3 linked regions of the Drosophila melanogaster genome follow. The gene in region 2 interacts genetically with the main gene of each other region. Each region holds a gene or a part of one and is shown on either strand. Other genes may lie near its edges.

What was found.
Region 1: of MTF-1 (region 2) and Ctr1B, changing one suppresses a phenotype caused by changing the other (phenotypic suppression), as found in Drosophila melanogaster (3 studies listed by BioGRID).
Region 3: of MTF-1 (region 2) and CG10505, changing one suppresses a phenotype caused by changing the other (phenotypic suppression), as found in Drosophila melanogaster (one study listed by BioGRID).

The regions. Positions count from the first base shown.
Region 1 is NT_033777.3:8,315,697-8,319,755, reverse strand, and holds Ctr1B (copper transporter 1B), read right to left. Parts: upstream 2,145-4,059; 5' UTR 2,020-2,144; coding exon 1,960-2,019; exon of another isoform or gene 1,750-1,959; intron 1,319-1,749; coding exon 854-1,318; 3' UTR 551-853; downstream 1-550. Other genes in the region: Coq2 (coenzyme Q biosynthesis protein 2), read left to right, coding at 3,366-4,059.
Region 2 is NT_037436.4:9,428,473-9,433,344, reverse strand, and holds the start of MTF-1 (metal response element-binding transcription Factor-1), read right to left. Parts: upstream 3,034-4,872; 5' UTR 2,824-3,033; coding exon 2,012-2,823; intron 1-2,011. Other genes in the region: RpS17 (ribosomal protein S17), read left to right, coding at 3,648-3,650, 4,020-4,171, 4,231-4,471.
Region 3 is NT_033778.4:21,284,698-21,291,939, reverse strand, and holds CG10505 (uncharacterized protein), read left to right. Parts: upstream 1-1,596; 5' UTR 1,597-1,611; coding exon 1,612-1,694; intron 1,695-2,113; coding exon 2,114-2,344; intron 2,345-2,415; coding exon 2,416-4,648; intron 4,649-4,712; coding exon 4,713-4,863; intron 4,864-4,923; coding exon 4,924-5,872; intron 5,873-5,928; coding exon 5,929-6,220; 3' UTR 6,221-6,692; downstream 6,693-7,242. Other genes in the region: CG30392 (uncharacterized protein), read left to right, coding at 1-13, 81-298, 359-654; MFS16 (major facilitator superfamily transporter 16), read right to left, coding at 6,714-7,085, 7,142-7,242.

The sequences.
Region 1 (4,059 bases), on a different chromosome or scaffold from region 2:
GTTGTTCAGTCTAGGTTACTCTAGTCTAAGAGCTAGTTAGGGAATGGTCTCATCATGGCGCTCACTTGTCACTCAAATTTTAAACAAATGCACTAAAAGAACTTATAATTATCCCGGAAATTTCAAAATAATTTAAACTTTAACTAAGAAGCTTGCAAATACTGGTGTGTGGTTAGGCAAGTACAAATAGATAAAGTGTCGTAAAAAAATGTGTGCGAGATGATTCACATAATCATAAGGTTTGCTTAGTTATATTACCTGCCCAGATGTATCACAGCTAAAATATTTGTTAAAAAGATTTTTCAAGATCTTAACTAAACTAAAATATGTACTATTGTGTGATAGGTGAGTATCGTGATTAGTTAGGCCTTCAAATGTGAGTTGTGGGCTGTCAGGACTCAGACCTGGTAATGTTCGCATTTCATAACGAATTTCATGTAATCCTGGAGATTTAACTTTGCCTTCTTTTTTGTCTCATATCGGATTGTTTGCGTTTTGAGTTCGGGGTGGTCAAAAATAAAGTGTATTGCTTATAAAAACATATTGTAAAGTCAAAAGTATTGAGTAGTACTTTAATCGCTTTAGATGAATACGCGTTGTATAGGTTCTTGTTCTCATGACTACACTATTTGTACAATATGCTCATTAAGTAAACTAGTTGACTAATTTATGCTACGATTACATCAATAACAATTAAACCAAGTGTAACTATCGAATAAAATTGTATTTTTAAACAATTTGTATAATTACGTGGGGACGGGACTTTTTCTTTGATGTGTGAACCAAGAACTGATAAGGGCTTAGTTTATAACAATTGCAAGATATATAAACAATTAAGAGCGATATTCTTGATCTAAGGACAGCACTCGCTCTCGTCGGGATTCTTCTTGTTCCAGCCGAAGAAGAAGTAGCCCAGACCCAGTCCCAGGATCACTGCCAGGCACAGCCAGTAGTTGAAGGTCATGAAGATCAGCATCAGCAGGTACGAGATGACGATCTGCAGCAGGTTCAGCAGGGACTGGACGATGTGCGACGAGGCGAACAAGCGCTGCCAGTAGGTCTGCTCCCTCGGCTCCGCCAGGGGAGCTTCCGAGCAGCATCCTCCGGCTGCCGGAGCCTCGTTCTTCCTACGCTGCTCCGCCGCCAGCTGCTCGCTTGCTCGACGGGCTTCCCTGCGCGCCAGTTGCTGTCGCAGGAACTTGAGCGCCTCATACAGGAAGGACACCAGGAAGATGGCCAGGGCGGAGAGCACGAACTCCGTCACAGTGGACGCCACCCATCCGCGCCACAAAATTCGCTCGCAGTGTCCAGCGTGGAACTGAAAGGATGCGAGAGTGAAAGATTAACTACATAAGAATCCATAAGATCAGTAAGATGAGGCTTAAATACCAGTTAACTACCACTAATTACCACTTAATAACTTTCTAATTCGTATCTATATCTAGATTCCTAGATATCTAATATCTAGGTATATCTATATGGTCACTTTTGCTAAGATGATCCTTAATACAAAAGTTTAATATTACTTTTAGTTTTATAAAATATCAAGCTTAAGCTTTCCAATTAAACATCAACATAAACATAACATTCGAATTAAACATCTTTTTTATAATTCCCTTACAGCGGTATAATTTAACCCATGAATCTTTATTCATGAGACACCCTGTTCGAGCATATTCAATTTGTATTATTTGTATTTGCTGAGAGCGAATAAAGCGCTAGAGAGCGAATAATTCGTTGTGGTTTCTGGCACATAAACATACTTATACGAACTTATACTAGGGAGTGACTAGCCAGAGAATTCAAATTCCAAGTCGGACGAGATATTTGTTTGCTCTCCGTGCAAATCTCATTCAGCTAAACTGGATGAGTGACTTTTAAATTACAGCGTTTAGCGCAGTGGTAAGTGATTTTGTATCAAAATTGTTGGACACAGGAGTTGTGTAACTGCGTACTCACCACCATGATCATAGGGCAGGACTTGGCCGTGCTGGTGCTGTCATCCGAGCCGTGATCCATCTTGGGCTGCTGGTGTAGTATAGATATAGATAGAAGGCGTGGAAAATCCGACTGGCGATCGGGGAGGCACAGTGATAAGAGCTAGACCTGCTGAGGTGCTGAGAGCAGAGCGTTGACTGCTTGAAACCCGCTGCTCGCGAGTGGTTTTTTAAAGAAAATCGCACCTAATCCCCCGACGCGGCGATAGGAAAGTGCGCTTATCTATGGGCAATGGGAAAGAGCGTTATCACCCAGTAGCGGCGATACCAACGATAGTCGCCCCACACTAAGAAAGGCAGCCCAGATACAGTCATGTAAATAAACATAAATGCATGCAGATCTCAGTGTTAGAGGTCAGATCAAAAGATATATTCTGGGTATCAGTTGCAGATCTTTATCTCGAGAGATAAAATCCATAATTGATGCGTCGTGGGTTTCTCTGCGGTTTGCAGCTTAATTTATGGACTCATGGCAAAGGTTCGACAATCGATTCGTGTGCAGAATTTATTGCAATTCAGATTATCAATCATGGGCTAATACAACCCCCTGAAATTGTTGCTGTAATACATGATGTTGAAATAATTCCATTATTTCTTCGCTTCGATCACGGTTTTATGGCTCTAGTCGAGTACATTCATACGTAGGTATATGCCCATATTCCGGCATGGGAGCGATAGCAACCGTCGGCCGCCGGATCGCCGGAGGTCTGCCTTAGTCCACTTGGCTTTCCTAGAGTGTTATTTCTTACTGTGCTATTTCTAACTGGGATAGAATGCCGCCAAAATTGATGGCCGTGCGCAAACCTTCTGCGGCCGTGTGCATAAATTCTACGGACATTCCTGCGCCGTGTGCCAATTTCGAAAAATGGGCGACGTGCGCAAAACATTAACGATATTGCAGAGGGGTAAATGGTTGGGTCTACGCAAAAAAGAGAGCAAAAGCTTTTGCTAAACTGCTTAGGTGGAGATAACTGTAAAGAAGCTTTAGTTATTAGTATTGGTAAAACGAAGAACTACATTCCGCATATGTTCTTCTGTGTTTAGATATATAAATATGACTTTGGTGAAACACAACTCAAAAGTTAACAATTAACACAAGTTGTTTACAACTTTAATATATTTGTCTTTGAAACTTAAATTCAAATTTTTATCGCCAAATGCAGCAGTGCCACCGGATCATATTGTTTTTTCATCTATCCGGCAACTCTTTGTCTGCCTTTACCCGGATGGCAGCCCTTTGACATTCCCAACCAAAGTTCCATTAAACATCTTGCCATTTTTTGACTGTGAGTTTACGAACAAATACAACTTAACATCGTGTGACTTAATGCTTTAATCGTTGAAGGTGCTAGTGCAAGGCAAATCGCAATGTATGCGCTTCGACACCTGCGACTCCAGAGCGCTAGGCACTTCCGCAGCTCTTATGCAGCGGCGGCAACAACAAAACACATGCTGCCCCGGCAACCAGCGCGTGTTCTGATTGGAGATTGGAGCACTTGGGATAAGTCCCGGCTGCAGGATGTATGCTCCAGGAGTTCGAGTACCGCCACTGAGCCCGTGAAGCAGCAAACGCCGCTGCAGGAACTCGTGTCGGCCGCCAAACCCTATGCCCAACTAATGCGAATCGACCGGCCTATTGGCACCTACCTCCTTTTCTGGCCTTGCGCCTGGAGCATAGCGCTCAGCGCGGATGCGGGCTGCTGGCCGGACCTCACCATGCTGGGTCTGTTCGGCACCGGGGCACTGATAATGCGCGGCGCCGGGTGCACCATCAACGATCTCTGGGACAAGGACATCGATGCCAAAGTGGAGCGCACGAGGTTGCGGCCCTTGGCCTCGGGTCAGATCAGTCAGTTCGATGCCATAGTATTCCTCTCGGCGCAGCTCAGTCTGGGTCTTTTGGTGCTGGTCCAGCTCAACTGGCAATCCATATTGTTGGGCGCCAGTTCGCTGGGCCTCGTGATCACGTATCCGCTGATGAAAAGAGTCACCTACTGGCCCCAGCTGGTTCTGGGCATGGCCTTCAATTGGGGCGCCCTACTGGGCTGGTGTGCCACCCAGG
Region 2 (4,872 bases):
ATCATGGGAGTACTGAAAAATGAGAAATATGATTGAGGGAACACTACTCATGGCGGTAAAAATAGCAAGAGGGCGTCGTCGCCGAACGGGGAGCACGGCAGGAAGGAAGGAACACAACAAGCAAGGCACGGATGAAAAATTGAAAAATTATTGTACCGCAGAATAATGAGCTAGCGAAGAGCAACAACAATGTAGAACGTAGCGAACTAAGCCCATCACAACAGATCATTTGGACTTAGTCGCGGGAAAATTTAGTTTATGACCGATTCCGCATATCTTTTGAAGGGTTTCAATCAATCGGGTACTTTACGTATCAGCTGGTCTAAGTCTATCTATTACCCTGTACATTTTATCAGTCGATTTCCTGTATCATCCATATCTATTGAAATGTGAGTAAACATTGTGTAAACCCTTCAGCATTCGTGACTTATCACAAAGTTGTTAACTAAGTTTCGGGAGAACTGATTTGCTTTGTATTTATATTAAAAGCCCTATCAGCTGTACATGTTATTTAGCCTATTTCTAGAGAATAAAGACCTTTGAGACATTTACGATTTTTACCCTTTGGGAAAAATAGAATATATAGAGAAAACTTTTTATAGTGCCAAATCGCACTTTGTTGGGGGAGAATTTCACAATAGAAGCCACTACAATTTGGATTCTTTTGAAAACCGGCTTCTTTACATCAAGTGTTAATGAGTTTCGGGGAAATTTTCGGTCGTCTTCGCCTAACACATTGTAGAAATATACATCTATGTATGCATATGTATATCCATCTATACATTCTGCTTGGCATTTGGGGTGGGGGTAGAAATCTAAATGCGTTCATCGCCGCAACTATTTTTGGCCCAAACAAATGATTTTCGATACAATCATCAGCCGAAGTGGAGGCCCAAAGGCATGCAGCCATTATGATGCCCATTGGCACATAGTCTCGGTAATATTGGATGTTTGCGACGAGGGTATGCGCTGGTCGAGTCGATTGAAGCGCGCAGAAATGCAACAGGCTGAGAACACAAATCAGGCAATTAGCAAGCAACTTGCAAGCGATTCGGACACCGCGTTGTAATAAGTGGACATTGGAACGCTTGAAATTTGCCAACACAAATTCTCGACAAGGAAGAAAATATGAAAATTCGATTTTGCCTCTTTTTTTTCGTGGGCAGCCAAACAAAAAGTGAAATAAAATTTAAAAAAAAAATCGGACACGTCACGACAGACGCTAGGCAAATGTTTTCCTTTTTTCCGCGCTCTCTCTCTCTCTCTCTCGAGAATCTTTTTGTGTGTGGGCAGTGGAAAATTAGCAGCGAAGAGGGGCGGTGGTGTCCCTGGCGGGGGTCAGAATGCGGAGGGCAAGGCACACCTGACGGCCCACTATAATTGGCCAAAAAACGACAAAAGCACCAAGCACAAATCCACTCATACATGACACTAAAAATATGCAATTATTATTCCCGTTCTGGCTTTTGCACCAAATCGAAATTAAGTGATTTTTTTCGTAAGGCAATCGAACGATTTCAAGGACTGGCATAAAATTAAATATTAAATAATATCGGCAAAAAAGTGTATATATTTTTAATATTTCATAATTCTGTGCTCTAATCATAACATAAATTTAATGAATTAATTATGTGCTCAAAGCTTGAACCAAATTCAATATCTCAAATAAAATGCTTTGCCAAGACTTATGATTTATTTTGATTTTTTGAATTCAATAATTTTCCTTGAATTTTGTTTAAAATATATGGCAAAATTCTTGCTTCGATATATATACAATATGCATACACACATATGTACGAAGTTTCGAGAACCGATTTTTTAAGGCAATATATAGTTCTGAATCTATATAAAATTATAGTTACATTTTTCTACACGAATAATATTGCAATTCCAGAACGGGTTGTTGTTATCATATCTATAAAACACCACGCCTAAGCAAAAAAACATTCCAAATACAAGCAAATCATAAAATACACATGCAGCGGTGGGTGTACGTGCAAGTGGGGAATACCTCGTCTCAATTGTGAAATAAGCTGGAGAATTGGATGTGGAGTCCCTAGAGATGCTGTTTCCAGTTCCCTGGTCGTTATCACAGTTGATTGGAGGATTTGCAGCCTCGTTGGGGCTGGACACCATGCTGAGCGAGACCACAGTGGGCGGCTGGACTTGGACGAGCCTCTGGTTCTCGAACTGGTATTCCAGCGTGAAGCAGATGTCATCCAGATTGAACACCTGGGCGGTGATATCGCTCAGACTGGCTATCAGCGGAACTTCAGAGTGGCTGGAGCTGAGATTCTCGGTGGTATGGTGATATGTGATGGGTATGACCGTGATGGGCAATGGTGTTAGTTGATCCGCAAGCGAAAAAGCGTTGTCCGCTGCCGCAGATACAACAACTTGTGAATGGCCATGAGTTTGAGATGCAGTGAGTTGATCCTGGGCACCGAATAGGTCGCCATATGTCGCCTGGGCGTCCCCCGTATCAAGGGTGAGGCCCAGATTAAGCACCTGTTGCTCGCCACTTGTGGATTCCGCCGTCTGGCTGCCGTAGATGCTGTAGTTGTCCCCATGGATGATGCCCAGCCCGTCGGCCTCCAATTTCGGTTCGAGCAACTGAGCTAGTGGCCTGTCGAAGTCCAGGGAACCAGAGGAGGAGCAATTGGATGTGACGGGCGGGGAGCCGGAAAGCGAATTGCGCGACGAGTTGGTATCATAATCCCGGCTGTCTGATAACGAATTTCCATGACTATTAGCGGTAGTCTTCCACTCGCTGTGGAAGTAGTGTTGTTGTTGTTGCTGGTGTTGTTTCTCTTGGTCGTTCATGTCGTATTATTTGTTATTTGCACACCCACGCACACTAAGACAAACGCTTGCTATATCGCATATGATATGCAGTTGTTATTCTCTTTCTCTGCTGCCACCGTGCAATATGTACATATATATAGATTGCTAAAGAAATTAGAGATCGCGAGATCGAAAAGCACACATCCGCGATCGAAAAGCACAAGCAACAACGATAAGAACCAGTGTGACCATGGGCGGAACGACAAAATATAACGCGGTTCTGGCTGAAATATACCATAAACTGGGATATACCGAAAATAGTGGAACGCAAAAGGGGACACCGCTTAGTGGGGACTCAAACCGCGTGTAGAGTTTTAGGCGGAGTCTCCAAGCGTGGTGTGAAATTGAAACTAAGGTGTTCTAATTTAAAGAATGAATAAATTTGCGAAACCAATATACTGCCGAATAGACTTATTTTTAAAGATTTTATATATTTTCTTATAAAAAAGAGTTTGTTTCATAACAAGTATTCTAGCCCATATTTAGGTACCATTGCACTGTACAATAGTCTCATTTAAAATGTTTAGTACAATAATGCGGTTTTTGTTAAATAATGTGTTCTAAGGTTCAAGTCCTCTCTTATTTCTATTTAATTCATCTACCTTCGAGATTTGCATAATTATGGTATATTTGCGGTATATTTTAGTATGTTTTTCACACAACCACCCTGGTCACACGGCATCCTTCTTTTTCTTTCGTTTCCGGCGAGGTATGTGCACAAATTTTGTTTCTCCACGTTTTTCTTAAAAATAATTGCTTATTTCTCATTTTAGCGGTGATTAAAATATCCATCGAGCAACATAATGGTACGTACCAACGAAAAACTGGCTGAACTCGAATCAAAAAGCGGTCAAACAAGCATAAAACGGCAACGACAGCCGCTTATCCCACGTGCATAGTGCCAATTTTGTTACCCCAAAAGCAATTATTTGTATCCGGCGTCTTGAAACCGTCCTTAATATCAATACCAAATAGCAATTCAAACGGAAACTTTAAAAGAAACCTAAACTAAAACCGAGTGAAGGCCTCTTACATTAAAAGTCCCCGAAAAATGCCGCAACTATCTCAGAAAATCAGCTGCAAATAACTATTTAGTTGTGACAGAAAACTATCGCAAAGATACAACAAAATGGATTGAACTATCGTGATACTAAACATTTTATCAACTACCACAGGGTCGCGTACGAACCAAGACGGTGAAGAAGGCCGCTAAGGTCATCATCGAGAAGTACTACACTCGCCTGACGTTGGACTTCCACACCAACAAGCGCATCTGCGAGGAGGTGGCCATCATTCCCACCAAGCCCCTGCGCAACAAGATTGCCGGGTAAGTGCCGCTCAAATCTCGTTAGTGAGTGGATCTATAATCCCCAAATTCCTTTCCAGCTATGTCACCCATTTGATGGGCCGCCTGCGTCACTCCCAGGTGCGTGGTATCTCCATCAAGTTGCAGGAGGAGGAGCGTGAGCGTCGTGACAACTACGTCCCGGCCGTCTCCGCTCTGGAGCAGGACATCATCGAGGTCGACGCCGACACCAAGGAGATGTTGAAGCTTCTGGACTTCCACAACATCCGTGGCCTGCAGCTCACCCAGCCCAACACCAACAACTTTGGTCGTCGCAACTAAGATTTGTATAGCGCGTAGATGATGATGTTCTGATTTGCATGGGATCACAATAAATTTGTGTGAAGTGCATTTAAAGTGTATGTTTTTGTGTTTCAATTAATTATGCGTATTCGATTGAAAAATATCCAAAGTGAACATCGTTTCCAAAGTGGCTCACCAGGCAGGAAACTCGATCTAAATTCAAGAACCCCAAGTCTGTGTTCCGTTTATCATCTTTATTCGCATTCGAATGGAAAATACTGTAGACATGCACATATTTGTAAATATGTTTATATTCAATCCATAAATATATGGGTTCGTTTTTACACAGACGATATATAAAAGATATTCTACGAGTGCACAATATTTAAATCTAATCGTGTACGCTGATGCCAGTATATATAATTATTTGTTATGTATAT
Region 3 (7,242 bases), on a different chromosome or scaffold from region 2:
AGGAAATAATGAAGTAAACTGAGTGATTATGATGTTTATGTTTTTTAGTGGTGCTCTATTGGGCTTTCGGTGTTCATTAGGTTCTTCCAGCTCATGGGCAGTGTCTTCAGTTTTGTCAGCAGCGATGTGCGCAGTAAAATAGATATCTTATACGCCCTGAGAGCCAAGGACGCGGAGGAGCAGGAACACTTTAATACCTTCAGAACCATGCTGGATTACGAGAAGGAGGCCCAGTTGCTTACTCAGAAGGGTTACGTGTCTGGCAGTCGAACGCTGCTACGTCTTCATCGCGGTCTTGGTGAGCGTTATGCGCATATAACTGCCACAGTGGCTAATTGATTGGTTTCTTCTTATCTAGACTTTGTCTACGAGTTTCTCAATCGGATCCAGGCGATACCCGACGACCAAAAGACTGTGGACGTGTGCAAGGAGGCCTACGATGACACCCTGGGCAAGCATCACTCATTCCTCATCCGCAAAGGAGCGCGCCTGGCTATGTACGCGATGCCCACTAGGGGAGATCTTCTCAAGAAAGTGTGCTCCGATGTCGAGGCGGCCAAAGAGAACCTGCCTTCCATGCTGAAGCATATGAGAACCAACTACGATCGCACAGAAGACCTCTACACGCTATACGATCTACACAGCCTGCCTTAGAATCCATACATACATAATCCATATCTATACATCTGGGGCATTCAAAAGATCTGATAGAGTGATAAATACCAAAGTTTCCCTACTTTACCCTAGCCAGAAAAGATGCCTATAATATGATATTATACCATACTTTTATAATATGCTTTTGTACTGTATCTAACTCTCTATCAGATCTGGTGTCTACCCCGGCGTAGATTATGTAGCTAAAATTTTCTGTATTGATTGTGTAACTGCAAGTATTCGTTTCCTAAGACGTAAGTTTTAATTTTGCATTTTGAATTGCCTGCAATCGCTCATCTATCGCCTTGTCCACAGGCTGTGCAATATTTCCAAAATCCCCCGTATTTTAACGCCATTAAAGCTTTAGTCATGAATGAAAACTTGTCTTATCTCTGGGTGTATTGAACTTGGTCAACCTGGACAAACATAGTTTCTCGTGCCAGTTCCAAATATAACAGCATAATAAGCGATCCCGATTAGATAAGCTGCTGGGGGAATGCTACCTCATAAAAAACCCACTTCGGATACAAATGGCTTGGCGTATCTGCTTGTGATTATGGTCCAAGACAAAGACCGCTAAAACTCCCCTATATCTCCAGAATCCAGTCAAGATATATGGCCATTTGGGCTTAGCGAGCTAACTTTTGGAGCGCAAATTGCAGTAATGGCCGCCGTTTCAATTGCAGTCTAATTGCGCTATCGATTACGCCTTAGTCACTATCACTACGTATCACTATCAAAAGCGGTGAACTCTCAAAAAACGTGTTGAGTTGGCCACTTTATCGCCGTTTGGACAGGCGTTGTGCCAAGTGCAAACCGTAGAAGATGGTGGTTCTCCGGACAAATAATCCACAGACGTCACTGCTCCGTCTGTGAGTGCTGAAGTCGTTAAAAGCGCCTTCGACCGTCCGTTTTGGGGCATATTCAATCCGTCTGGCGCCGCGAGCATATGGAGCCATGGATGCTTCTAAGCAGTCGAGTCCGAAAAGAGAGAGTAATCCGTTTATCAAGGCCAATATAATCTCTAAGTGGCTGTTCCTGTGAGTCGTCAATATTTTTTTTTTATTGGTGAAAAGTGAAAATCTCTGCGGAAACGATGGTCATGGTCAATCAGTGAATAGTTTACAACTCGCGATAAGGATAGTGCTAATTGTTGCTAATAAGTGCTGATAAACAACATCTCCGAAAAGTTTAAGCAAAAAAGTTAAGATACTTGTAATGCCCAGAAGTCAGCTTTGGAATATCTTTTTCAAAACTCATTAAGTGATAATGGTTATTTTTAACCCATAGTTTCCACATGAGATTTCGGTCATAAATCGGAATTTCGCGATATTGATTGACCATTGACTGTTGGGCAGTCACGTAGTAATGCCCTGGATCAGACATGCCATTTGCAAGTCGCCTACCTTGGAGATACTTTGATAAGATATTGAACGACTTATCATTTTTCCTCCTTCAGATGGATGCACAGTGTTTTTCGGAAGGGCAGGCGGGAGGAGTTGGACGCGAGTAAGCTGTACGAACACCTGCCCAGTTTCGATAGTGAGTCCTTGACCAGAAACCTACAGCCCCACTGGGAGAAGGAGTCCAAGAAGAAAAATCCGAGTCTTATGCGGCTGATCTTTAAGGTCTACGGATGGCAGTTTGTTCCCGTTTGCATTTTATATTCTCTGTTGGAAATGGCTATTCAGTGAGTACAGAATCTAAATATACTTCCGGAAATCACAGCAATCTCACTTTTCACTTCCGCTTTAATTGCAGTTCCTTCCAGCCTTTGCTGCTCGGAGGATTGATCTCCTACTTCGCCTACGGCCAGACGACGGTGACCAAGGAGAGTGCCTATCTGTACGCCATGGGCATTGTCCTGTGCTCGCTGGTCACCTCCCTAGTGTTTCACCCATTTATGTTCTACGTATTCGCGGTGGGAACGCGGGTCAGATTGGCCTGTGCCGGCCTGGTCTACCGGAAATGTCTGCGCGCCTCGGCGAGCAGTGGCGAAGGACTTGGAGGCCAGGCCATTTCGGTGATGTCCATCGATCTCTCGCAGTTCGACTTGACTTTTTACTTCTTTCACGACCTGTGGAAGGGTCCCGTGGAGGCCTGTATCTTTGGCTACTTGATGACCCGCCAGGTGGGCTGGACATCACTGATTGGAATCGCCTTCATTGTGATATTGATACCCCTGCAAGCCTGGGCCGCCAAGGCTTCTGCTAGTTTCGGCACCCGATCCGCCAAGCATCGGGATGCACGGGTAAAGCTCATGAACGAGATCATCGGTGCCATCCAAGTGATTAAGATGTATGCGTGGGAGAAGTCCTTTGGACGCCTGATTGCCGCAGTAAGGCAGTCGGAGGTAAAGGCCATCCGAGGATCCATGAGCATATACGCCGCCCTGCAGTGCACCAATATGATCTCCAAGATATCGCTTTTCCTGAGTCTGGTGGCCTACGTGTATGTGGGTGACCTTGTGACGGCCAAGAAGGTGTTCATTCTGTCTTCCTACTACGGCTTACTCAATGATTCATTGCTGCACTACTGGCCCATGGCCATCACCACTTGGGCTCAGACTCTGGTCAGTGCGCGTCGAGTAGTGGAGTTCCTGCTGCAAGTGGAGAAGCCGACGGAGGAGTCCTGCTGCCGAGACAATCCCGGACTGGAGTTGGATGCAGAGAAACCGAAACCAGCACAGAGTGGGCGGCTCCACTGCGTACAAAGTGAGACTAAGTGCTTAAGTTTCCGAAAAGTGAGCGCGAGTTGGGACAAGCCGAGCATAAAGCAACCTAGGAAGCCACATATTGAGGGTATCTCCTTTCACATCAACGCAGGCCAGTTTGTGGGCATTGTGGGTAATGTGGGCTCCGGAAAGAGCACCCTTCTTCATGCCATTCTCGGTGAGATCGAGCTCATGCAGGGACGAGTTGAGGTTCATGGCAGGATTAGCTATGCCGCCCAACAGCCGTGGGTATTCCAGGGCAGCATCAGGGAGAACATCCTGTTTGTGGAGCAATACGAGGAGAAGCGATACCGAGCAGTGGTCCATGCGTGTCAGTTGGACAGAGATTTGGAACTACTGCCACGCGGTGATGCCACCGTTGTGGGTGAGCGAGGAATCAGCCTGAGTGGTGGCCAAAAGGCCAGGATTGCGCTAGCCAGAGCAGTGTACCGCCAGGCGGATATCTACCTATTCGACGATCCTCTGGCCGCCGTTGATGCCCAGGTGGGTAAGCTGCTGATGGACAAGTGCTTCCACCGATTGCTGGATGGCAAAATGCGCATTCTAGTCACTCATCATGTCCAGTTGCTCAAGAGTGTGGATCAACTGCTGCTGTTGGAGGGAGGAAAGCTCACCCAGCAGGGTAGCTATGAGGAACTTAAGGACGTTATCACCCACCATGCTGCTCTGGATCTGGAGGCCATCGAGGCGGATAAGCAGCAAGTGAAGCGTGTGCTCAGCCAGGTGGACAGGACGTCAAAGCAGCTAAGCAAGGGAGAAGAAAAGGATCCTGCCACCATCCAGGATGAGAATGGCAATGCCGAACAGCAACTTCAGGGTGCCGTGAGCTACGATACCTATAAGGCTTACTTTCGGGCTCTTGGCGCTCCATTCCTGGTCTGTTTGGTGCTCTCCATGTTTGTCCTGGCCCGAGGATGCCAGGCCGTCATGGACATTTTCATCTCACGATGGGCCACTTGGGAGGAGGATAGAGGGTATGATTCGGTGGATGACTATGAAGCCACTCGCACCAAAATGGTTATCTGGTATACGGTGCTCCTGTTGCTCACTTTGGCATTGTTCCTGCTGCGCACCTTTGGATTCTTCTTCATGTGCCTGCGCATCTCATTGACATTGCACGATCAGCTCTACCATGGGATAATCCGCGCCTGGATGTACTTCTTCAATGCTAATCCATCTGGGAGAGTGCTCAATCGATTCTCCAGCGACATACAGAATGTAGATGTGAATCTGCCACAGGCTATGATGGATTCCCTTCAAGTAAGTACACCTAGCTCAACCACTTCTTCTTTAGTCTCATGCAATTCTTAATCTTGTCCCTTAGTTCCTGGTAGATGTGGTGGCTGTGCTGGTGATCGTGGCCATCGCCAACTATTGGCTGCTCATCCCAGCAGCCATTATGGTTATACTATTGTATTTCTGCCGTGCCCTCTATATAGGCGCCAGTCGAAGTCTGAAGAGGATTGAGAGCTTAAGTAGGTTCAAATTTATCAGAATAATCTAGCCTTACTAACTTTTCTCATTTAACTTAAAAGCACGCAGTCCCATCTACTCGCACACAAACCAAACCTTCCATGGACACTCGACCATTAGGTCCATGGACGCCATGCCGCAGCTGGAACAGACTTTCCATGGCCACCAGAACACAAACTCCTCTGCCCTTTTTCTTTATGTAAGCGCCAACAGGGCGTTTTCCTTCTGGACCGATCTGATTTGCGTGATCTATATCCTGGCGGTGACCTTTAGCTTTCTGGTTATCAATCAGAGCTTCTACAGCGGTGATGTGGGTCTGGCCATCACCCAGTCCATGACATTGGTGATTATGTGCCAGTGGGGAATGCGCCAGACTGCCGAGATGGAGAACAATATGACCAGCGTGGAACGTGTGCTAGAGTACGCCCAGACGCCATCGGAGCCACCACTTGAGAGTCCAAAGAGTGTGAATCTTGCAGCTGAATGGCCGCAAGCGGGTCACCTTCGATTCCAGGATCTTCGCATGAGATATTCCCCGGGAGACGAGGATATTCTTAGAGGACTGAACTTTGAATCCCAGCCCATGGAAAAGATTGGCATTGTGGGACGTACTGGAGCGGGAAAATCCTCTATAATTCAAGCTCTATTCCGATTGGCTCTTAATGAGGGAACCATCGAGATCGATGGACTGGACATTGGTAAACTGGGTCTCCACGACCTGCGAAGTAGAATCTCGATTATCCCACAAGATCCGGTTCTGTTCTCTGGAACACTGCGCTTCAATCTGGATCCATTTGATGAAAAAAGCGACGAGTCCCTGTGGAGTGCATTGGATGACGTCAAACTGAAGAAGCATGTTGCCTCATTGGAAGGAGGTCTCTCCTGTCGCATGCAGGACGGTGGCTCCAACTTCAGCATGGGTCAGAGGCAGCTGGTCTGCTTGGCCAGAGCCATTCTACGACAGAATCGAGTTCTGGTCATGGACGAAGCAACTGCAAATGTGGATACAGAGTAGGTTCTTAAGATATTATTTTCATTTTTTTCGTAATTAACACTTTATCTCTTAGAACTGATATCCTGATCCAAGAAACCATCCAGACCAAGTTTGCTGAGTGCACGGTTCTAACGATCGCTCACAGATTGCACACTGTGATGGACAATGACAGCGTCCTGGTCATGGATGCTGGCCAGATTGTGGAGTTCGGAGCACCTCACAAGCTCCTGCAGCGCAAGGATGGAGCCCTTCTTAAGCTCGTCAATCAGAACGATGCGACCACCGTAAAGTTCCTCAAGAGGATTGCATCAGAGAGTTATATGCGCCGCAACAGAAGAGACTCCTTGACCATTTCCGAAGAATGAGCAAGGATCGCCAGCGGAAGCAGGATTTAACTTAAGCATCGCCATTGAGAAATTGTACTGCCGCGGAGAACAGTCAAATTCGGTTTTATTGGTACGAAAAGTGTACGATAAAGTGTATTTACATAGCAGTAGAATTACGCTAGTACTAATGATAGTTCGGCACTTAAAACGAGGAGACTCTGACACACGCGCGCACACACAAGATTACAACATAGATGTATGTATATATATATATATATATATATGTATGTAGGTAATATATCAAAATTGTAAACTTGATGGATAGCCTAAGATGATGGTAAACATTCCATTTAAAATAACATTAGGTATTGACATGTATGGGTAAAACTAGGATCAGAAACACTCTGATATGCTCTCGAATGAAAAGAAAACGTTCTTTATGTTAGCTATACAAATGCTATGGTATGTACAGAGAACGCTAGAAACAAAAATATATATATGGTCAAACCACATCCGCTTCAGCTTCTTCCTGCTATTCAATCCGAATACGATGCGATGCACGACGCAGTGCAGCGAACTCCTTGAAGACCAGTCGCCCCAGCAGCACCATGGCAATGATGTCGGCAGCGATGAGCATGTGGAAGACATACTGCCATCCGGCGGTGGAGATAAGGCCGGCAAGCAGTGGACCAACTGCCGCTCCGATTGACCCAGTACCATCGATAATGGCCGTCACCGTGGCCAGAGCATTGGCATTTCCCTCCAAGGAGCTGTGCTGGCCCAGCTCTGCACTTACAGAGGTTGTAATCAGGGCATATGGTCCGTTCACAAAGATGCCGACCACAATCAAGAGCACTATGCTGATTGTCATCGACAATGCACCATATTGTTGATACATCAGCAGCTGAAACGAATACATGTTCCTAGTAATGGTTTCTGTGGCTTGTCTAGAGTACTTACAATGGGCGAGGCAACGAACAACATGCCTGTGCAGACGGTGGCCGACATTCCGCTCACATCTGATAGATAGCCCGCAGCTATTGCACCCAAAATACCACCCA